Linked DNA regions of Canis lupus familiaris. The protein of the gene in region 2 purifies or fractionates together with the protein of the main gene of each other region. This does not show direct contact. Links are inferred from orthologs where the notes say so. Each region holds a gene or a part of one and is shown on either strand. Other genes may lie near its edges.

What was found.
Region 1: the proteins of ADNP (region 2) and CBX1 purify together in Homo sapiens (affinity purification with mass spectrometry; 6 studies listed by BioGRID and IntAct, with this or other methods). This does not show direct contact. The link is inferred for Canis lupus familiaris from reciprocal best matches to the Homo sapiens genes ADNP and CBX1.
Region 3: the proteins of ADNP (region 2) and ZNF644 purify together in Homo sapiens (affinity purification with mass spectrometry; 3 studies listed by BioGRID and IntAct, with this or other methods). This does not show direct contact. The link is inferred for Canis lupus familiaris from reciprocal best matches to the Homo sapiens genes ADNP and ZNF644.

The regions. Positions count from the first base shown.
Region 1 is NC_049230.1:24,314,235-24,321,292, reverse strand, and holds the end of CBX1 (chromobox protein homolog 1), read left to right. Parts: intron 1-940; 5' UTR 941-977; coding exon 978-1,117; intron 1,118-1,602; coding exon 1,603-1,780; intron 1,781-2,569; coding exon 2,570-2,664; intron 2,665-4,394; coding exon 4,395-4,548; 3' UTR 4,549-4,915; downstream 4,916-7,058. UniProt on the Homo sapiens protein: Component of heterochromatin. Recognizes and binds histone H3 tails methylated at 'Lys-9', leading to epigenetic repression. Interaction with lamin B receptor (LBR) can contribute to the association of the heterochromatin with the inner nuclear membrane.
Region 2 is NC_049245.1:37,865,435-37,873,862, reverse strand, and holds the start of ADNP (activity-dependent neuroprotector homeobox protein), read left to right. Parts: upstream 1-3,897; 5' UTR 3,898-3,956; intron 3,957-6,061; exon of another isoform or gene 6,062-6,235; intron 6,236-7,612; exon of another isoform or gene 7,613-7,684; intron 7,685-8,428. Other genes in the region: DPM1 (dolichol-phosphate mannosyltransferase subunit 1), read left to right, coding at 1-61.
Region 3 is NC_049227.1:58,285,275-58,292,939, reverse strand, and holds part of ZNF644 (zinc finger protein 644), read right to left. Parts: intron 6,508-7,665; coding exon 3,470-6,507; intron 3,291-3,469; coding exon 2,685-3,290; intron 2,568-2,684; coding exon of another isoform or gene 2,506-2,567; exon of another isoform or gene 2,471-2,505; intron 767-2,470; coding exon 644-766; intron 1-643.

The DNA.
Region 1 (7,058 bases), on a different chromosome or scaffold from region 2:
AAGAATGTAAAGAAATGGGTTGTATTATATATGCAAATACAAAAGAAAAACCAGATGTTTGATAAATAGACAAGCTACCTCACACTAACATTTGAAGTCTAGTAATATGAAAGTATAGATCAGAGGATTATATGTATATAAATAAGTCTGATGTATGTACATTATTTTTAGGAGCCTTGCTTTCAATTTTATTTATTTAGTTAGTTATTTTTAAAGATTTTATTTATTCATGAGAGACACACGCACAGAGAGAGAGAGAGAGAGAGGGAGGCAGAGGGAGAAGCAGGCTCCATTGCAGGGAGCCCAACGCGGGACTCAACCCTGGGTCTCCAGGATCAGGCCCTGGGCTGAAGGAGGCACTAAACTGCTGAGCCACCCGGGCTGCCCCTATTTATTTATTTTAGGAGAGCATGAGCAGGAGATAAGGGCAGAGGGAGAGGGGGAGAGAAGGAAGGAAAGAAGGAGACTCCCCCACTGAAGGGAGAGCCTTGCACAGTGCTCGACCTCCTGACCCCAAGATTATAACCTGAGCAGAAACCAGGAGTCGGATGCTTAACTAACTGATCCACCCATGCCCCCCAATTTAATATTTTAGATACATGCTTTACAGTAAGAGGGGTATTGGGAACTTTTTAAACTTAGAATAGGTATAAAACTCTTAAGTGGAGATACAACAATAAAGAAGCTGAATAAAGTTTTGCGGTGAGATTGGCTGGGACTGTTTATGAACTTTCTAGCTTAATATATCAGAAAGCCTTATTTAAAAAAAAAAAAAAAAGAAAGCCTTATTTTATACTGCAGTTGTATAGGCAGAACAGCTAATACAAGCAGCATACACCATTAAAGTCAGAGCTGTCCCTGGATTTCTAACCATCCAAATATTCACCTAACCAAGAAAAATGTGCCCTAACGCCCTTTTTATTTTATTTTATCACTTTAGCAGCGTCACCCTTTAGACCAGAAAGCTGGCGGGCACTATGGGGAAGAAACAAAACAAGAAGAAAGTGGAGGAGGTGCTAGAAGAGGAGGAAGAGGAATATGTGGTGGAAAAAGTTCTTGACCGTCGAGTGGTAAAGGGCAAAGTGGAGTACCTCCTAAAGTGGAAGGGGTTCTCAGAGTAAGTTTCATTAACTTGGGTAAATCTATCTATTTAGTCACTGACTATTTCTCAGGAGTCTAGTAATGCGCAAGGCCTAGGGTGCTCTGATGGGTAGTATGACCCAGGCCTGGCCTTCATGGCTTAGAGTCTAATGAGGAAAACTGTCCACATGTACAAAGTGCTACAATGCCAGACAGTGATTTATGAGAAGCAGTTTTATGTGCAGCTTTAGACTGATTCAAGTTTGCAAAGAAAGTAATTTTCCTTTGAAGAAGGCAAGTTTCTAAGCTTTTAATTTACATTAAAAAGTCTGATGCCAACCCCCCTGCCCCAAGAAATCTCAGTGTTACCAAGGTTCTTGGTCTTGGACAAAATCTGGATACTCATTATCATTAACTCCTCTTTTCCAAGGACACCAGCTCTCGTCATCCTGTGCATCTCCTTAGTATGAGTGTGCTAACTTTTGAGTGGAAAGTGTGACTCACTGTGCCCTCTGGTTTCAGTGAGGATAACACGTGGGAGCCAGAAGAGAACCTGGATTGCCCTGATCTCATTGCCGAGTTTCTACAGTCACAGAAAACAGCACATGAGACAGATAAATCAGAGGGAGGCAAACGCAAAGCTGACTCTGATTCTGAAGATAAGGGAGAAGAGAGCAAACCAAAGAAGAAGAAAGAAGAGGTAAGGGGAGAACAAGTTTTACTAGCCCAGAATTCCTACTGCTGTCAAAGCTGAAAAGCCTTTTAATTTTTAAATTTAAGGAGTTTTATTCTGCTGCTTCTTGGGCCTCAGCACCCATCTCTCCTTCCTCTGGAATCTTAGGCTAATGCTTATAAAGTGTTTGGGGGTTCACTTTGCTGAAGCCATGTAATCTATACTTTATCCAAGTTTCTTTCCTTTTTTTTTTTTTTTTTTTTTAAGATTTTATTTATTTATTCATGAGGGACACACAGAGAGAGAGAGGCAGAGACACAGGCAGAGGGAGAAGCAGGATCCATGCAGGGAGCCTGATGTGGGACTCGATCCTGGGCCTCCAGGATCACACCCCGGGCCGAAGGCAGGCGCTAAACTGCCGAGCCACTCGGGCTGCCCTACTTTATCCAAGTTTCAAGAATAATAATGAGTGCAAATAAATTCATTCCTATAGATAGTTTTCAGTGTTGTAATCATTACAGGTGTTAGCTCTATATTTATTCAGTACCTTAAAGTAAGTTATCTTCTGAGGGTGAAGAAACTGTTGTGAAAATTTATTTTGCTTGAGATGTATGTCCCTTTTTACATATGGGGAAACCTCAAGACCTTGATGGAAGAATCACTCAGAAGGATGCATAAAGGCCTGTGACTTGGAGCCAAGGTATTGATGAAATACTGACAAGAATGTGATTATATTAATCAGAGGAGCAGGAGTGACTCTAGTCTGGATAACAGTCCCACATAATTAAATTTGTTGCATCCATCTGATTTTTACAGTCAGAAAAGCCACGAGGCTTTGCCCGGGGTTTGGAACCAGAGCGGATTATTGGAGCTACAGACTCCAGTGGAGAACTCATGTTCCTGATGAAATGGTGAGTCTGCTGGTGGCCCTGTGTGGTGGTTTTTTTCTTCTCCCCATCTGTTCCATGCCAGAGGAAAAGAGCTGGATCTTCGAAATTCCAGTCGCCCAAGTGTGAAATCTTTAAGATGGCATAGTCCTTCGATAGTGACCCTCGGCCTGACTGCCAGCCTGGACTCATGAGTTACAGGTAGGGGCCCTTAGGATTCTCAGATCTTTGCCCCATTTATTAGGAGGTGGGAGAAAATCCAGGATGGAGAAGGTACAGGGAAGGATCACATTTCACTTCTGTGAATGAAGGGGTTGGGAATGAAATGTGATTGAACCACCTTCCCCTTGTACAACCTCCTTAATAAAAATTGGGCTGGCCCCAGGATCAGAAGTTCTGTTAACTTCTCAGGGTTATTTAAGAATTTCTGTAGCTCTTCCTTTGTCTTTGATTGTTAGATCCTTTCCAATTTGTGCAGATTCTGTAATTCCAGGATCAGCCAGTAGGGGTCAGCAAGTCACCTTTACTGTACTGAGAGCATAGAGTAATAGGCTATTTTTTTCCATTAGAAGTATGAATACCAATGGTAGTAATACTCCACAAAACAGCTTAAGGAAAACAGTTGTCTTGAGAATGATAAGAACTTTAATTAACCCCAGATTCCCTAAAATATCCCTATTCTCTGCCAAAAGGAAGGCTTTCTTTTCTTTTTCTTGCTGGTTGAAAAATGTTTGTGCTTTTTTCCCCCCCCAGGTAGGTCTCAAATATTGTCCTTAAAATATAAATTAGGAGGGAATGATTCTAAGCCTTTACCAGTTAAGGCAGAATTTTAAGGATTTTGTCCTTTTGTCAGTCTAGAATCTTCTCTTAAATTCCTGTCTATACTAATTCCTCTTGCTTAGAAGGTGGTCAGAGAGGCCTGACTTTGACACTGCTGAAAGCTTATGTCACAATTAGGTGAAACTCTTGTTTTCTTATTTTGTGTTTCCTATGTTCACTGAATCTGACATTTTAGCTGCTTTACTGCTAGCCTATAGGAGAAAAGTTCATTTTTCATTTTTAAGGTGTGCATCTGGGGTGGTGGGGGGAGATTGATACCAGGAGCTACAATCCAACTAGAATATATTTTCACTGTCTGCATGTGATCAGTCTGAGTTACTATACTATCTCCATATTGTTTAAGATTGCACTCCTTTGGTTGAATTACTGCTATTTTTAAAGATTATACCTGAATGTAATTCTACAAGTTAAGATAAAAAGATTGGATGTTGATTAGAAAAACCTAGTTCATTTTAAGATGATTTTCTGGAAGAGTTGAAATAGTTGTCCATTACCAAAATAGAAAATATTCCTTTGTTATGAAATAACTGAACTTCCCTCAAAGTATTGTTTGAATTGTCAACAAGGGCAGCCTCCTTCAGGCTCCCATATTGTTAGACTCCTTTTCCCTCCCATTCTTTTCAGTCTGTTGTTCAGAAACATACCTTACCAGTTTAGTCAACCCTGGTTCCTTGTGCTCTCTGGCTTTGGTTTATCTGTTTCTGAGTTCTAGAAGTTTTGGGTGGTGCCTCATTGGATCCCATCATATAACTGCTACCTGCCTTAATGCTGCTACTCTCATCTAGGAGATTCCTAGTGACCTTACTCCTAAGTCCTTTGTAATATGTATGTGATTTTCAAATTTTGAGACCATTTTTTAAAATTCAGGAAAATATAGAGAATTATGTAACAGTCCCTTATTTTCTACTTCCCAGTGTTGAAGCACCATTTCAAAGCACCTGGGAGTTGTGGAATATCTGTGTGAGCATGGCATTTGGTAATGTTAAACAGTGTAATTATGAGTCAATGAGAATGTGTCCAACTGCATTGGCTAGAGCCAATGGTATTAAATCTTATTATTGGTATTAAATCTTACTATTGGTATAAAATCAATTACTATCCAAAATTCTACTACAAAGCCAAGATCTCTCCATGGGCTCTTGGGAGCTTGGCTTTTGGATGAGTATGGTAGCCTTTCTTCTGCCCTCCAAGAATCTGAGAGTCATGTTTGTTTTTGTTTTTGTTTTTGTTTTTTTCCTGGCCTTGCCAGAGGTTCACATGTGATAGATTGAGTTAAGTGACTGAGCTTAACAAAGATACCAGAGAGGATTTTCAACAGAAGACCTCTGAGGATGTCACTTGACTAAATGCTGTGTAGGCCATGTTATCGCCCTATCCCTTGTGTAATCCAGGTTAGGAGACCACTAGCACCTGGTCTCAGGGTCTCTCTGCTTTGTTCTGCAGGAAAAATTCTGATGAGGCTGACCTAGTCCCTGCCAAGGAAGCCAATGTCAAGTGCCCACAGGTGGTCATATCCTTCTATGAGGAAAGGCTGACGTGGCATTCTTACCCCTCGGAGGATGATGACAAAAAAGATGACAAGAATTAACTGTCCTGAGTACCTGCCCCTGTCACATCTGACTGTGGGTTTCAAGTGGGGAGGGAAGGAGTTCTACTCGTCTTGACACCGTAGAGGTGGCTTGAGAAGATGTCCTTTGAAGAGCCAGTATCGTTTCTGTGCCCTACAGCAGCCCAAGTGCTTTAAAGCCTTTCCATGCTGTGTAGTTTGCACACCCATCCCAGTGGAGGGGAAGGAAGAGAAGTATTGCAAGGCCACCCATTCTGTACTTTGCTGAGAAAGGCAAAGGGCCTTCCATGAAGGACAGAACTTGCAGAATGGGTGTGTGGGAGAGCAAAAGATACTGTAGATCTTCAAAGTGCATCTCCACAACCCACAGCCTTCTTCCCAATAGTGTTAACTCTGCATTTTTACAGCGTAGCATGTGTGTAGTTTTTGGCTATTACTGGTGTATCATTTGGGGGTGGGAGGGTTGGGGGTGGGAAGGAACGGAGATGGGTAGGATCATTTTTGTTAAAATTTGGGGCCTGATTGGGAAAATGGTGAAACAATGGAAAGAACAAACTTGTGGTGATTTGGTTCTGTGTCCAGAATATTTTATCTTTTCAAAAAATGTCATTGGCAACCTAAATGAGGACTGTGAGAGACTGTTTAAAAGCTGTGAATGCCTGAAACTTAAAGCCAAGGTGTTCCCTGCCTGAGCTTAATGCTATTCCCAACAAAGGACTAAGCCAGTTAATAAGTTACCAAAGCTGCCATTTTGGGGATGGAAACTGGTTGAAGAGGGAAAGTCTTATTGGAGCGTATACATAGGCAGATTGTTCTGTCATAGAGGTGCTAATTCTTGAAATTGGTAAGAAGACCCTTTCTTTTCCAACTATGAAGTTTTAAACATCAGCTTATCCATCCAAGCCACTGGCTGAGGTATTTGGGGAGGAGAAGAGGGTGGTATAGAAGGTGGGAGAGTAGAGAAAGACAAGGGCCCATGCTCTTAGGGTGGAAAACTCTTGGAGCCTATTATTTGAACTTTGAACCCTGAAATCATTGGTGGCAGGGTTCAATCACTGACAGCACAAGTTCATTGAATCACTTCAAGAGTTGAATGACTTCAAAAGCCCTGGTCTCAGGAGAAGATTAAACTTTCATACTGGGGCAGTGGTTCACTTTAAAACACAAAACAAAACAAAAAAATTTTTTAATCCTAAGAACTAATACCCAAAATGCTGTCTTGAATCATGAGATCCATCAGTTCTTGACATCGTCTAGACCTGCATTCTAGAACTCCATTGTAAAATCTTTTTAGGCATGTGTTAGGTTTCTGTGAAAACTTTGTTTAAATGTAAACTTCATACCACATTTGTCAGTTTTGTCTTAATAAAACTATAGATTTATAATCCTTGATTTCTGTCTTGATTAAGTATTACCAAAAACCCTCCCTGCCTTTGATTACCTTTTGGTTCAGCTTATAAGGAAACAACTTCTACAGTTGGACGGTTTGATTTTTTTTTTAATTTTTTTTTTTTAAGATTTTATTTATATTTGTTCATGAGACAGAGAGAGACAGAGGCAGAGGGAGAAGCAGGCTCCATGCAGGGAGCCCGATGTGGGACTCGATCCCAGGACTCCAGGATCACGATCCTAGCTGAAGGCAGACGCTCAACCGCTGAGCCACTCAGGCATCCCAAGGAAGGTTTAATTTCTTGAACACTGTAGGTTTGAAAATCTAATGCCTGGCCTGAATCTTTGAGTGGTCTCATTATGTAGTAAATATTTATTGAACGTCTATAATTGCTATAGAGATTATAAAACTTGTCACATCATTCTGCCTTCATATTGCTCAAAGTTTGCTTATTTATTCATTCATTCATTCATTCATTTTTTGCTCAAATTTAATTTAGCACTCTGACCTGCTAGCACTTCCAAACCATGATATGTTTGGAAACGTGTTTGTTTGTTGTTGCTGTCAGTTTGTTTTTTTAATAATAGGTTTTTTGAGTTATGTTTGTTTTTATTCATGAGA
Region 2 (8,428 bases):
GGGAGGAAATGAAATAGTCTCTTTCTTGAAAGGATTATTGACTCTCTTTGCTACTACATAAAAGAAAGTTATTCATTATACTTATCATGTTGAGTTCATTTAAACATAAAAGAAGCCTGCTTGCTGATTTTTATAAAATGTACTCTTAGAGCATAAATCATAAGGTAAGGTAAATTTCATACAAATCTTTTTTTCTGAGGAAACTCCATTTTATATGTCAAATTAAATTAGAAAAATGAGCAGTGTTTTCAATTTTCATTTACATTTTGCTGTATTATTAAGACTTGTAAATAAATGTATTGGGTTTTTCAGAAAATACTGAGCTTTCATTAGAGTATGTGAGTGCAGAATTTCTTACATGGTAAAGACTTTGAAGTATATTAAAAAACTGGATTCATAGCTCATTATAATAGATACCAGAAGTAAGAAGAATGTTAATTATATTCATGAAATATATATGGCTGTTTCTGTATATATGAAGAAGTAGACACCTCTGCCCCTTCTTTAAAAATGTATCTCAAATTTCTTAAACTAGATAAAACAATATGTTTAGGTCACAATTTCATCTGTCAAAGCAAGTTTATTTAAAATACATATTGTGAATTGGAAACTTGACATCCGTTGATTGCATAGCTATTTTTTTTTTCTATCTTCAGCAGTACCTTCTATCAGTAGGAAAAAATATTGATGACAATATTTTGTCAGCATCAGTAGTCTTGATGACTTCAATACTTAGCTGCTATAGTATTTTTAAACATCTTACTAAGCTTTAAGTGTTCCACCAGTGAGTGCACTGTTAGTTGTTCATTAAAGCCAGCACACATATTCTGTTTATCTACCTTCTCTAAGCTAAATGTTTCAAAAAAAAATTTTTAACTGTAGCATAGCTTATGGAACACATGGTATCTTTTAAATTTGTGGGAAGGCATACTTTGAGCAAATAAGCTTAAGAGCAAGTTGACTTTCCTTTGCAAGGAAGAGACATCTCTAAGTTATTTAATAAGCATATTTATTGAACAGTATTCCTAATTACATTTTCCTGGCTTAATTTGACTGCTAAAGAAATTTAAAATCTGATTTTTCAATTGCATTTCTAACAGATCATAATCAGAAATTAATATCAGACTATAAAACCTTTGGTGTCATTTTGAACATTACCTACTCCCATAGTTGAATCCATGGGACACATTCCAAAAGGGCCTCTACTATTCTATGTCCCTTTTACACAGAGCTGTTTAGCCATCCAGCACACCAGGGACCCACCTTCCTTGGGGAAGTGACATCTCTCATCATTAATAACTAGAAAATTCATCACTGTTTAATGTAGAATTAACCTAATGTAATAGAAATACAATACTCTTTTCTGTGGAGTGTTTAGATTCTCCTCTTTTTCATCTAAACCCAAAGATTTTATTGTCAAGTATATGGAGCAGAGATTAACTACCTCAGAGAACTCATTATAAATTATTGCCTTCTCAGACCTCACTAGAGTAGGTAGCTATCTTATGCCTTTTTAATCTTTTAATCTTACTCCCATAGTCACAACACTGTCACTACTAGAATTTATAGTAAAGAAAGTATTTAAGCAGTGAAGACTTTTTTCATGTAGAAGTTATTTAGAAAAGAATCTGGACTATTTAGATGCATTTCTGTAAGACATCTGATGATTTAAACACTAAAATCTCAAACATTTATATGTGAACCTAGCATCTCTTTTTACTTTGTAAATTAGTCCAAGGATAAAATCCAGATGTTTTCCCTTTGTATTATCACTGTATGAACTCTATACCTAAGGAAAACGAAACTTGAGATAAATGGTTTTGCTGATTTCATAGTAGATTTTGCCTGTCTTCTGTAACATGTAATTAGATTCTTCATCTTTGTTTCTCTAAATCAAATGCTTGTGCCACCCTCTCACACACACACACACCCTTTTTTTTTTAACTTTTCCAGCTCTTGTTTTCCTTTGAAATACTGATTTGGCTTTTAAAGATTTATCTTCTCACAATTTCAGAAACTAATGGAATTCTGTATTGGTTCAAATGGCTTGTTTAAACCTGCTAAGTGAAGTCTTAGACATTGAGCTATATGTAACCACAATCTGTACTGTTTTCAGTTTAGTCAGAATCTTTGAGATGTTAAGTACTGTTTGAAACTGTTTTAACTTGAAATTTAGAGAAACGGCCAAAGATCAGTGTATTTACAGAGCACACCTTAGGAAAACAGGCTTGGTTAATCCTTCATGATGGTGTTCCTTACTCTTCAGTATGTTTCGCCAATGACATACTCTTAGATACAGTCTACTCCAAAAGGTGGGTTCAAAGATGTTGAGACAACGTGTTGGTTGGGATTGACCTAAATTTACACGAGCTGTCCATGTGCTGTCTTGTGACATCCACATTGTGGTAACGCTAGAATGACTGTCCTTGGGACCACAGTTGACGTGTAGTTTTTGAGCGTCTTCTGGAGGCCCATCAGCAGCACCTTTTCTCCTCTTCAGGCTTCACCAGTCCAGAGGCCCCCAAACGCTAGGCTCCCATTTGTTTTCTTCAGGCCAAAGAGAAGAGCCCATCTTTGACTTGGAAGAGAGTCAGCCCCTGGCCACTAGGTAACCCACCCGCCGGGAAGGAACCGGGGCTCCGTGGGCTCGTGTCCCGTCTCCAGGCGGTGTGTGAAGCACGAGGCCCTCACACCTCTTTTAAGGCAGGAGGCATCGCGCTCGAGCGGCCAGGTGCCCCTGCCCCTCCCGCTACCGCCCGGCCCGGCCCGGCCCGCCCGTGAGCGCGCAGGCCTCCCAGCACGTGGAGCCGCCGGGCTGCCCACACGCCCCCTCCCGCCAGATGTAGTCCAGGCCCAGCTGGGCCCGCGCAGGGATCCCCGGCACGGCCACCTGACTGAGTGCAGGGCGTGCTGCGGCCCGCTGCTGGTGCCTCCGCCGCCGGCGCTGCGGCCAGAGGAAGGCGCCCGCCGTGCACACGGGCCTTGGAAGCGCACTGCGGCCATTATCCGCGGCGCCTCCTAGTGGGTCAATGGCAAATCCTCTTGGTTCTCGCGAGAGCTCCCCCTCAGTGGGGATTATATAATTTCCCTCAGGTGGGGGTGCTGGTGCCACCCTCCCTCCCAAAAAGTTAGGTGCAAGCCCAGGTGGGAGTGAGAGAGTGGTCCCTGGGGGACAAGGGGGGAAGGGGTGCTGTCCCCCACTGCCCCCCCCCACTTAGCTGGACAATGAGTCCTCTTATGCTAATGAGGTATTTACGTCACTTCCGCTCTTTCTCGGCCGCCATTTTGGCTAGGGCAGGTTCGGGGACTCGCTCCGAGGCGCTTGTATTGTCTGCTGAGGGGAGACGCGGGATCAGCCCCCTCCCCCGCCCGTTGCCGCCGCCGCCTCCGCCGGCCCGGTCTCCCCTCCGCCGCCCGCCGGGATCCATGAGCTGAACTCCCGCCCCCCCCCCCGGCCGCCGCCATCTTGTGCCCCCTCCCCCTCCCGCGGGCAGCGCTAAGGGGGATTTTGGCGTCTCCTCAGACACAGCTCCCTCTCTCGGTCCCCGCTGCTGAGGAGCGAGAGGAGCGCGGCCGCCGCCGCCCGCCCGCCCGCGCCGGTGAAGCCGCCTCTCCCACACCCTCCGTCTCCTCCCTCCGCCCCTCCTTTGTCTGCACCGCTCGACGACGCTGCCGCCGCCGCCCGCGCGGGGACTGGAGGGAGCCGCTCGCGCCGCCGCCGCCGCCCGCCGCTCTGCTGCGCCCGCCGCGCCCCCCGGCAGCAGCCGCGGCCGCGGCGCGAGCCGGAGCCCGCCGAGCCAGCGCGCGACGAGGCCCCGGGCGCGCCCTCGCCGCCGCCGCCGCCGCCGCCACCACCGCCACCGCCGTGCCGCCGCCATCCGCCCGCCGCCGCCGCCGCCGCCGCCGCCCGGCCCCCGAGCACGCCGGCCCCGCGCGCGCCTCGAGGCCGAGTCAAGGTAAGCCCGCGGCCGCCGCGCGCCCACCCCGCGGCCCGGCCCCGGCCCCGGCCCCGCTCCCGCTCCGCGCTCCCCGCTCCCGCTCCCGGCCCCGGCCCCGGCCCCGGCCCCGGCCCCGGCCCCGCGGGCGCATTGTTGCGCCGACTGCCTGCGCTCCGGCCACACACGCTCCTTTGCACGCTCCGGTGCTGACGGAGCGCCCGCCCCGCCGCGGACCGCTACCCGGGCTCCGCTCCGGGGGCCAGGCGCCTCCTCCTGCAGCCCGACCCCCCTCCCCGCCCCGCGAGCCCGCCGAGGCCGGCAGCCAGCCCGGCCCCGGAGCCTGTGCCGCTGATGGCATCTCCCCCCACCCCGCCCCCAGCGAGCGCCGAGCTGCTCCCATCCCTGGAACTGAGCCCTTCCTCCCGCAAGGAGCCCCCCACGCACACCCCCGGTGCCTGGGACGAGCCCGCCGCCACCTCTGCCCACCCTCGGCTGGGGGAGGGGGGACACTGGGGGGCGGGGAGCGTGCATGGCACGGAGTGGAAAGTCTTTGCCTCCGCCGTGCAGCCCTTCCTCCCCAGCACGCCAGCTCCCCTCCTGTCCTAGCCACGGAGTCCACCACCACCCCCTTTCCCCAGGCGCAGCTGCCTGGTCAGCACGACCTCTTAGGAACATTCTGAGCCCCAACTTTGCAATGAGACGGCTAAAAAAAAAAAAAGGAAATCCAGAAAGCTGCGAAAAGATTTTTTTTTTTTTTTTTTTAATGCAATGAATGGGGAGGAGTTCTTTGAGCACCCTTTTATTCACCTCTCTTTCCTCTGGGCTGCCTGCCTGCCCTCCCCTCCCCCTCAACCTGGATGCCTGTCTGCTGGAAAAGGCGCGATTGCTTCTCTTCCTCTTCTGCCCAAGATCAGGCGCTAAGGTCTAATATCCTTTTTAGCCACACATGGACCCACACTAAGTCTTCTTGATGTTCTTGCATTCACCAATTCCTCTGGGCAGTTCTTGCTATAACCCCATTTCTCAGACAAAGGCTTAGGAGGGAAAAAGAACCAAACTGTTTCCTGTGTTTGCCATTTTAATGCTGTCCATCCCCACACACCCAATTCCTATTCCTGATGCTTCTCGTACCAGTGTCTTGAACCTTCAAAATGAAAACAAAAACAAAAACAAAAAACAGAAATCTCCTGAGTGGCTTGATACAGTTTCTTTATAAATCTGCATTGTTGCTTCTGGTTTATGGCCATGAAGAAAATACCAGCCCCCACCCAAAATGCACCGCAGCCAAGTCGGCTAAAGGCGATGAGTGTTGGAGTCAGTAGGGGGCGCATTCCCTGCACTGGGTAAGGCTGCAGAGGGGGGAAGGGCCCCAGAGCTAGAACAGGATGTGCTTCACAGCGCCTTCTACAGACCATGGGAAAATGGACCCAGCAAGACACACTCTCGCACTCTTAGTTGGTGAGCTGACAGCAACATGGCGAAGGATTAAGGGAGTCAAGAGCGGTGATTTTATTTCTTTTAAAGAACCCACCCTGCATTTTAAAAGTTCTCTCTTTTTACTTTTTCAAAACTGTTGACCCTCAGACAATCCACATTTGTTCTTGGCACATCATTGGTACACAGATTTTCTATTCTCTGGAATTATGGAATTCTTCCACCTTAAGCTTTGAATGAGTCACCATGTCTTTCCAAGGTCAGATGGTAAAGGGGAAAGTGTAAAACCTGAGAGTAATGCATTGGTTTGGGGGTATTGCTGATTGCCTCCTTTCTTCATGGCCCAAATCTTTCCAACTCTTTGAGAGTTAAAAATCATTCTTGAAGGATGTTGTTAGAATGTTAGTGGGGTAGTAATTCTCATAAGCATGTAGATGGGTGTCATGATTTGCAAAGCCTTGTTGGTAAACATCAAACCCGTGTTGAATTCTTCATTGTCAAACTCAACAGAGTTGATTGTAAAATTTTGTTGCCTTCCAACTTTGGACTTGTAATTGCCGCCATTCATTATCTCAGTAGCCAACCACCAACCACCTTTGCAAAAGTGTTGACACCGGTCTTCTGTGAGCACCCACCTTCTTAGGGTGTGTTGATTTCTGTAGATTTTACTCCTCTTGTTATTTCCATAGGTGTGAGATGCACAATGCGAAACCTAGGCCCCAGCTTTTGCACCATGATGCACAGGGTTGTACTTTTTGTACTGAACTGATAGGTGGCCTAGTGGTTATGCCCTGTACTACCATTTTGAGGATCTGGACTCCGTTCCTGCCTTGCTCTTTGGACCACATTGTCAATTCACACCGGTGGGTATATTCATTTTGGAGGGTGGGAACTGCAGCAACAGGGAAGCCAGAGACTTCTTCCTCCTTGGTCACCACCAAAGCCAACACTTCCAAAATTTCAGCCTAGCCACATTCCTCAAGGAACCGGTTAGAGCTGGTTGCAGTCGAGGGTTCTGAACAGAGAAATGACATAGTAGCTTGTTTAAGAGAAAATTTTGAAGTTGCTAATGCTGTTTTAATCATTTGCATTCTGCACTCTTGTGTATAAAGTATGTTAAGTTCTTGATTATTGTTATCTTGATGACCCAGGCTCAAGAGTTGCTATAGTTTCTATAAACCTTACAGATTCTCTGATCAGAACAGGCCCTTCCATGAACCTGTCCTTGTTACCAATGATTGTCAGTGGTTGTTGATAATCAAAGGTACTTTTAAGACTTTGTTGCAAGTATGTTACATAGACAGACCAAGATAAGTTTATGGGGAAACTTATGAATGGGTGTATTCTTTGATACATAGTTAACCAGTTGGTGCTTAAGAGTTTTCATGGGACATTTGCTGCCAAGTAACCTTTTGGTGAGTGAAAAGGAAGGAGGCAGCTTGGTTCAGTTATTCCATTGGAGACCTAACTATATTGCTTTTGCAATATTTTAGTAGCCACAAGAATCAGATATTAAATCTAATGGTGATATTTATAATTTTTAAATACTGATCAGTATTTGTTAAACAGATATAATTTTGACCTGTACTTGTTCTTTGATAGATAGTTATATGAGTTTTTAAAGGAGTAGTTTGAAAACCACTTCTTATTTGAGGGTATGTTTGAGGTGAGGTTTGTGAAGGTGCTTTTATTTGACTTGGCAAATTACACATAAGATGCAGTGTTAACTGATATCCTTAGTGGTAATAGCCATTCTCCTCCTACGGGAAAACTTGCTATGAGCTCTTAGAAAGCATGTATTCTGCAGTTTTTCAAGGTTTCCTGGTTTGAGCATTCTAAATTAAATTTATAAATAAATAAATAATAAATAGTAAGGCTATTGGGCTTGAAGGCTGGAATTTAGGTAAACTGAGGGTTTGTTAAAAGTACAGGTTGGGGGAAGGGAGCCTCAATTAAGCGGAAGGTGGGAATGGGTATTCTGTTTAATTGAGCTTTAAGTAGAAATGCCTTCTTTACTTAGCCTTTGTTGAAATTTCCTAAAGTTACCATATTAGAGGCTACTGTACATTGAACTAAGCCTTTGATTTTGATTTTTATAGTCTCTGTTTAGAAAATATAGGAGATTGGGCTTTGAATCTCTAAAAGACCTCTGGCCCTGCCTATCCTGGAAGTCATTGGTTGTAAACATACCCACTGTGAATTTGTTTTGCTTAAATTTCTCTTTTTTTTCCTTAAACCAGAGTGCAGGAAAAGTTCTAATACTATTTATATTAAAAATAAAACGTCACCATGTTGAACAGATTAAGTGTCAAGTAAGTTCTCAATTATTGTTATTTTGATGACCCAATCTCAAAAGTTGCTAAACTTTTAAAAACCTTAAAGATTCTCTGATCAGAACAGGCCTTTTCCTGAACATGTAGTTGCTACCAGATAACCAGCTAATAGGCTTTTACCAAGTAAAAATGATTTTTGCTTCTTGTTACAACATATATGCACACGTTTATTTAATTACTCCAATTTGATTAAATAAGGTGCACTATTTGTTAAATTGTTGGCTTTCCTGGTAACTGTTCACAGAATTTGAAAAACGTCTACTCAACACAATTTTTAGTATTTTGAAACTTTAAATATTCAGCAGTCTTTTGGTTGATTGCATTTATGATGTTGTGCACATGCTGGCTACATGTTTAATGATGGAAATTAAAGAAGATAGAGCTGATCAGTTACAAAGGCTCAAATAGGGATCAGTACTTGAGTAGAGAGAGAGAAAAGAAAAAATTCACAATTTCAGTACTATTTTTGTCTTTTGGGAACTATAACAAAATTGCATAAGTTGTAATAGGCCTTGGCAGGTTGATTTCGTCAATTGGTGTGAGTGTGTATATACCCAAAATACAACTCGTTTCTTTTAGAGTTGGAAATAACTGTCATATTATCAAATACAAAATCCGAGCATTAGAGATATAATTGGGAAACCGTACATTTAACTACAGAAAAAGATGTTGGGATTAGACATTATAATTTTTGGAAAAATAATCTATTAAAATCATAGTGAG
Region 3 (7,665 bases), on a different chromosome or scaffold from region 2:
GCAAGGTTGGGCTAACCAACCAAAAATAACACAGAAATGTGCATGCTAACATTTATGTGCTTGGCTATATTTATTAATCCTAAACATAGTTTAGGAGCATTAAAAGAAAAATCTATTCAGTTATCAACATGGGCCATTATTAAGGCTTATCCCTTTAAAGATTTGATCTATAAACCAATGAAAATTCCTTAGTTTTGCTTAGTTTTCTAATCAAGCTACATATTTGAAATTTCACAATAATTTCCTTTCCTAATAAAGCATTTCCTCAAGCTAGAACTACAATCTTTTTTTTTTTTTTTTTTAACCAAAGAGAGGTGCCTTACTGGAATCTACCAACAAAAATAAATTTAAAAATCAAAAATAGTATAATTTAAAAATCAATGGGAATTATGTAGATTCAAAAGTTCTACACCTCTATTGGCTTTTTTTTCCCCCAAATCAAGTCAGTAAGAGCCAAATGAAAAAGAATAACTTGCTTAAAATTGTATCTAACAGTTTACAAGTTGCTGAAATTTAATGTATATTCAGACTCAACTGTGCTTACCAAAGGAAGCTATAAATATCATCTGAATTAGCACCAGTCTGGTGAGAAAAAAAGTGTACTGTATCAAGCAGACTTGCTGTGTTATCTGTTCAAACATACCTGTACCAGTCAAAAGTCCAGCACTCTTCTTTCGTGCATAAGCGCGTAAGTGGTTGGACAGGCTAACAGCACTTGTAAACGTCGTATTGCAATGCACACATGTTCTAAGCTTCACAGGCATACCTATCATTCAAAAGAAAACTATAATCCAGTTCTCACTTCAAAAAGTGAAATTTTCTTAGCTAAAAGCGTGAAGAAAAGTACCACAATAAGGATGGTTTAAAAAAAAAAAAAAAACGTTCATTGAATTAGCTTAACTTAAAATAAGGAGGGGGAATTAAGTTAACTAATATTAGTTTGCTGTTAGTATTTAGAGCCAACCCATGCTCTTTGGAAATGTGGAAGAGGAGTGCCTTGAACCTCTGAGCTCCTCTGGATTTAACACCTATTATCACTTTCTTGCAGATTTCTGTGTTACGCAGATCATTTCCTAAACCTAAAATACAATCCTGTGATTTGAAGAGCACAGTTCAGTTGAGAAGTTTCAAAGCTTACAACATTACCAATAAAAAGAATTAAAAAGTCTAGTTGACAAAGTGGTAATTAAAGTGTTTTACCCACAAAACCGTAAAAGGCTCAATACTAAATTAGGTTTTCTGATGAAGGCTGGGAGAAAAGGTGGTAAAACACACCATTGAGCAGCTGTTAGACACAACATTTTATTCAGGGCATTTTATGTTCATTACTCTGAATGCGCAATCAATAATGAAAGTTAATGATTTGAAGTTTTTTACTAAAATCTTTGTGCTAAATAAATGATCAACAAGCTAACATCTTAGTCATCACAGGAAAGAAAACATGTTGAAACAGTAAGAAACTCCTAACTTCTAAGACAATCTTCACTCCTCAAACTCCTTTCAGTTGGTTTCTCCAACAATGACATTCAGCCACAAATACACTTTCCATCTCTCAAGTGTACTAAACTTTAGTCAACATAGCTAACACACCTTTCTTACATTTTATTCTTTTGAAAAAAATGTTGAAGATTTGACTTTCAAAGACTCTCTTCATACAAAAGAACCTATTTACCAGAAACCCATACAAGAAAGTTTTTCAGATCACTCACAACACAGTGTAATCTTTCCTTAAATCAAAACTGCATATAAATATCTGGGCTATCCCAATGTCTGCCAAAATAAACAAGTCAACACTGAAGTAATTTTATTCATTATGAATTCCCCTGACCAGTTAGTTTTACCTTAGACACATTGGACTTGGGGCTAAAATTATGAGACCATCTAAGTTCATCCTCAACATTCTTAACCTCCAAAAGAAACCTACAAAGCCACTTAAAATTCTTCGAGTCTAAAAGTATAAATCAGACTTAGCAATAACAAATACAGTTTGGCTATTTTATTTGCTACCTCATTTGCCAACATACACAAACAATTCTTTTGAAAAGGAAAAACTATTGGTGCACAAGCACTAACCTAAACCATCCGTTCTGTTCCTTTAGACCACCACTGTAAAATCTAAAACCCCAAACAAATGTTTTATACTCACAACAGTTCTCCAAAACCAAACTATCCCACAATACAGTGAGGAATTGGAGAAGGAGAAGTTTTTTTGGGTTAATCACAACACACAACAGACACCAATCCATTCAGTTTAAAGAGTCTATTTGTTTGTTTATTCATTTGACTTAAGCAGAAGGAAAACCAACAGCTATATCTTGAAAACATTATCACCTTGGAGCACTGGCAAATATAGGACAGGTTCGCCATTTCAGTAATGCTATGCTTTTGAACAACGTCAACCTCCCATCCATAGGACCATCCCCCAGCCACAGCAAATTTTATTTTACAGATCTACTTTTTTTGTTCTCACCTTACATTCTGACCAAGAAATGAGGCACAGAGAATTCAGTGCTGATGAGCATCAACTGATGATTTATATAGAAATGACAGTATAACCAATCTCTGCTCTGCAAAAAAAGCAGCTTAAGTAAAAAGATTCTAAGAAAGTATTTTCTACAAATATTCTGTAACAATAAGCATAACTGTATTTAAATTCTAGACGACAGTCATAGACATCCTCTTACCTGAGTGCATAGTCAAATCCATTCTTTGTGGTTGATACATCAAGGGACTGTCTTCACTTAATGGAAGAACACACTTCTGAACAAATCTCTTTCTTGCAGTTTGATTATGAATTTTTTGAGGAGAAATAGTAGAATTCCTTTCTTCTCCCATCCTTTTATTTTTAAGTAGTTCTATCAGTGTAAGAGACTGATTCTTTTTTCCACTGGGTAGTTCTGGTTTTGTTTCATCATATTCATTTAAGAAACTCAGCCCTTCTTCTTCTGATGCAGACACTGATAAAGCTTCAGTCTTTAGGCCATTACGGTATGCTTCAAGAGGTATAACATTTTGAGATAGAAAGTCATCACTTGATGCAAGTTTTTGAGCTACAAATGGTCTGGGAATAATACGACGACTGTTCAATGCTTTCAAGATTTTTTCATATTTTTCTTCATTTTGCATCATCTCATTCAAAACACAGATTGGAGATTTGTGAGCATCCCATTTGGTCTTTCCAAGTCTTTTCAGATGGCCTCTAACATGATTCGATAATCCAATTTTAGTATCAAACCAACCACCACAGAGCTGACAAGTGTGTTCAGAAGTGGTTTCAGACTTCTCTATAGCTAAAAAAAATTTTTTAAGAGTAACATCAGAATTTTTCATAAAGTGATCATCTTAAAGCCAATAACTCTGAAATATAAAGTTATGTGATTCTAATAAAGACCAAATCTGAGCAAAACCTTCAAATCCTTTGAATTTGAATACAGACATATTAACCCAAATTATCTACATGAAAACTTACCTTTTCTAACTCGCTTAACAGGTGTCCCTGTACCAGTTCTTTTGAAATGTTGCATTTTGTCACTTGTGGCTATTTGTTCTGGTGATACAACATGGCGGGCTTCATAGCTTAATCCAGCTCTGTGAAGATGTCCTCGGACATGATTTGACAACCCAACACCTGTTTCAAATGTTGCTGGGCAGTAAGGACATGATTTCTTCTCAAGAGACAAATCAGTCCAGTGAAAAACAGAACTATGCTTTGACAATGAAGTTTCTGCATTTTCTAAATGCTGAGAATCATGTATGTCATGCAAAAAGTTATTAGTTCCAGCATCTTCATAATATTCAAAATAAAAGCCATCGTTTTGATCATAACTAAGAGTAGCATTTTCTCCAGGCTCTTGACTTTCCACCTTGCTTTTAAACAGTGGGAATAAGTTTACATGTTCTTGATTAATATCATTATAGGTTTCATCTTCCATAGCCTGTGTAGTGTAGTCACCTAACTCAACATTATCCCAAGAACTTTCATCTTCTGTTTCATAGCTGTCTTTCTTTTCAGCAGAATTAAGTTTCTGCAAAACAACAACTGTCATTTTATGCAGGAAATCTGGATAGCTATCCAAGTCTTCTCCTCCAACAGAGCTTTCCTTCTTAGATTCCTTAACTACTCTCTTTACAGCTACACGTCTATGTTCTTTGAAGCTTTCTGGCCTTTTGGTATCAGAGTTTTGAGAGTCTGAAATGAAACTATTGTTGTGAGAATTACTTGATGACGAGAACAAATGTAAAGAATTCAATGAGCTGGCTTCTTCTTTTTTGAAATGTAGAGGATACGATTCACCTGATTTTTTGATCATCCTATAGTTTTCATATTTGTGTCTATATAAATAGTTGCTATTTGCCTTGGCATTAGATTTTTCTTTTGCTGCTTGATGGAAATACTTAGGTTTTTGGTCAGAGCTGCTTTTAATCGTAACAGTCTTGTGAGAATTGTTTTGATTGCACACATTTACACCTGACTGGGCAATGCTTTTCCGAGCTTTTTGTATTCTGTGTGGCCGCTTGTGGAATTTGGAAAAATTACTTGATTGTGAAGATGATCCAAATGTTCGCTTTACATCTTGTTTTAAAGCGGAATTCTTTGGAAATGTGGCTGACTGTTGTTTAATTAATGGTTTAGTGCCATCAATATCTATAGGTTCTTCGAGAATGTCACTTTTTCGTTTATCAAGTCCAAGAGGACTACCAAATGAATCAACACATGATGATGAATGCAAGTATTCCATGTGTTTTTTTAAAATACTTCTGGCTGAAGTAGTAAAAGGACACATCTTACATATATAGGTGGCTGATTTTTTGGATGATCCTACAACAGAGTCTTTCATGAAAGTCTTTTTTTGCGTTTTTCTCTGGGCTACATCAGAATTGACGATAGGGCATTTTACCACTGCTCCGTGGGCAATGCCTCGATGGCATTCTAATTCATTTTCTGTCACAGCCATGAAGTTACACTCTTCACAGCAGTAGTACCTTTTATCTTTTTCATGGGTTTTAGCATGTTGCACAAATGTTTTAGGGCAATTGGTACCAAACACACACTGAGGGCACTGTAATCGTGCACTTCTTCCTTCATCCTGAAGTTCTTTCAACTCACGAATTTCCTCCATCAACTTCTGTCTTCTTTCTTGGTGAATAATCATATGCTTTAGAAGTGAGTTACGATCTCGAAATGTCCGTCCACATTCTCTACAAGCATATGGCCTTGGGACATTAAGATGACGAAAGTGGCTATTCCCATCTAAATGATACATCATATGCCTGTGGAGGTGTTTTTTCTCCCTAAAATTCACATTGCACTTTGTACAGGGGTAGAATGATGGCTCTTCGGTGCTGAAAGTAGCAGGTGACTCGGAATCACTTTCTTCACATTTCTTTTTTAAGGTATTTGAAAGAAAAGTGCTAGTATGAACGGGTGAACTGCCTTCTCCACACTTATCTGGGTTATAAATTAGATGCTGAAAAGCATCCACAGATTCCAAGTCTTCATCAGTTGATTCAGGCTTCACTTTTGATAATGCATATTTCTGTGAGTCTATTGCTTGTAGTTCTTCATTCTGCTCCAGAAAGTCTACTTCTAGCATTTTTGACTTATTGGGTATACAATTAGAATCACTAAAGCAATCCTCAGTATAACGAGTTATCTTGCTTACATCCATTTTTCGCTTTCTCTTTTTTTCTAGACCTACTTTAGAGTGAACTGGAGCTTTATCCACTGTGTCTTCATTAGTCATAAGAAACTGAATGAACTCTTTTTGGGGATCCCAGTTCGTATCATTTTCTGACCTAAATTCATCTGTACCTGAGGAAATTCCTGTCAATGTATCAACACAATCATCTTTTACCAATAAATCATCACTATCCTCACCCACCTCTACTTGATTTATTAAAGTGCTATCTGACTTTATACTACTCCCTACTGAATTCTGAATGTCACAACCAACGGAAGCAGAGGTAGGTAGTTTTTTAATGGAATGGGTTGGATTTTTAGCATGCGCTACATCTGATAACAAAAATAAAACTTGATGTTGACTTGCTTTCTGTGGTGTAGATAGTTGAAGATCAGGTGCCACCTTCAACGCTGAACAAGACTCTGTTGTTGGCTGATCCACAGGTTGTCCAGTGGTTAATGAAACACTGCCTTTATTCATACTGGAAGTCTTAGCTAAGGAGGAGTGTGAAACTGGTCCATTAACAGCAGCTCCTTTAGGCAAGATAAAGTTTTCACTAGAAACAGTAGGAGCACCAGCATGTATAAATAAAGTAGACTGGCCTCCACTTAAGGCTTTTTCAGATTTGTCCTTTGACAGTTCTTCAGGCAGAGTGAGAGTATTATTTTTCTGAAATGATGTTTGACAATCTTTTGGTTTATGAACTCCACTCTCTTTGTCTGAGATAAAACTGTTGTTATCTAGGAGTTCTTCTTTAGCACCAGTAATATCGGTGTTTATCTTCAAATCATCCATATTGTTGGCAAGCCCATTTAACACATTTAGTCTAGAAAATGGAAGAAAAAAAATTTAGATTGGCATGAAAGAAAAAATTCTATTAGAATGTATGGAGAGTTCAAAGTACACACTTTTATTAGTGTGATTCGACTCTTTATATCAAGATCTAATAATTTTCCAAGAATGAGGAAACACTTTAAAAAATGTAAAAGACATTAAAAGTATCTCAAAGGTTAATTTTCTTCTTTGTGCTAGGCAACAACTCCGTATTGCATATATACAAATCATCTAGGGAACAGCAACATTAGAAATGGCCACATTATACTGAATTGCCGGTCTCTATGGAAGAATGTAAGCTCTTGTCTTTAGAACCTAGCACAGTGTTTGGCATAGGTGCTTCAGCAGTATTTGGTGAATAAAGGACTAACATGTTGAACAAGTAAAAACACAACTGCAAAATCAAAGCAAAATGTGTAAGAGGAAAAAGTTTTCGTACTATGAAATGTAGACTCCCTTCAAATAGTGTAAATTCCATCATGGTTCTGACTTTTTGACTCAGCAATTACAGCAAGACCTTCAAAATATCCAATAATCCTCAAGTACAGTTTATTTATTTTATTTTTAAAAATGATTTTATTTATTTATTTATGAGAGACAGAGAGAGAGAGAGAGGCAGAGGGAGAAGCAGGCTCCCCATGCAGGGAGCCCAATGTGGGACTTGATCCCAGGTCTCCAGGATCACACCCTGGGCTAAAGGTGGCACTAAACTGCTGGGCCACTGGGGCTGCCCCCTCAAGTACAATTTAAAGAATCTGTTATTTGGCAACCCTAGGTATAGACTATCCAAAGTGCTGGCATAAAATTCCTTATTTCTCTTCTTTTTTGTACATGGTAGCAAGTACAGTTATTTATTCTCCAAATATTTACTGAGCCCTTACCATGTGCCAGGCACTGTTTTATTATTAGGAATACCAGCAGTAAGCAAGACAGACTAGGTTCCTGCTCTCTGATAAAGAATGAAGTCTTCTGGGCTGCCCCAGTGGAGCAGTGGTTTAGCGCCGCCTGCAGCCTTGGGTGTGATCCTGGGGACCTGGGATCGAGTCCCACGTTAGGCTCCCTGCATGGAGCCTGCTTCTCCCTCTGCCTGTATCTCTGCCTCTCTCCCTCTCTCTCTTTCTCTATGAATAAATAAATAAAAAATCTTTAA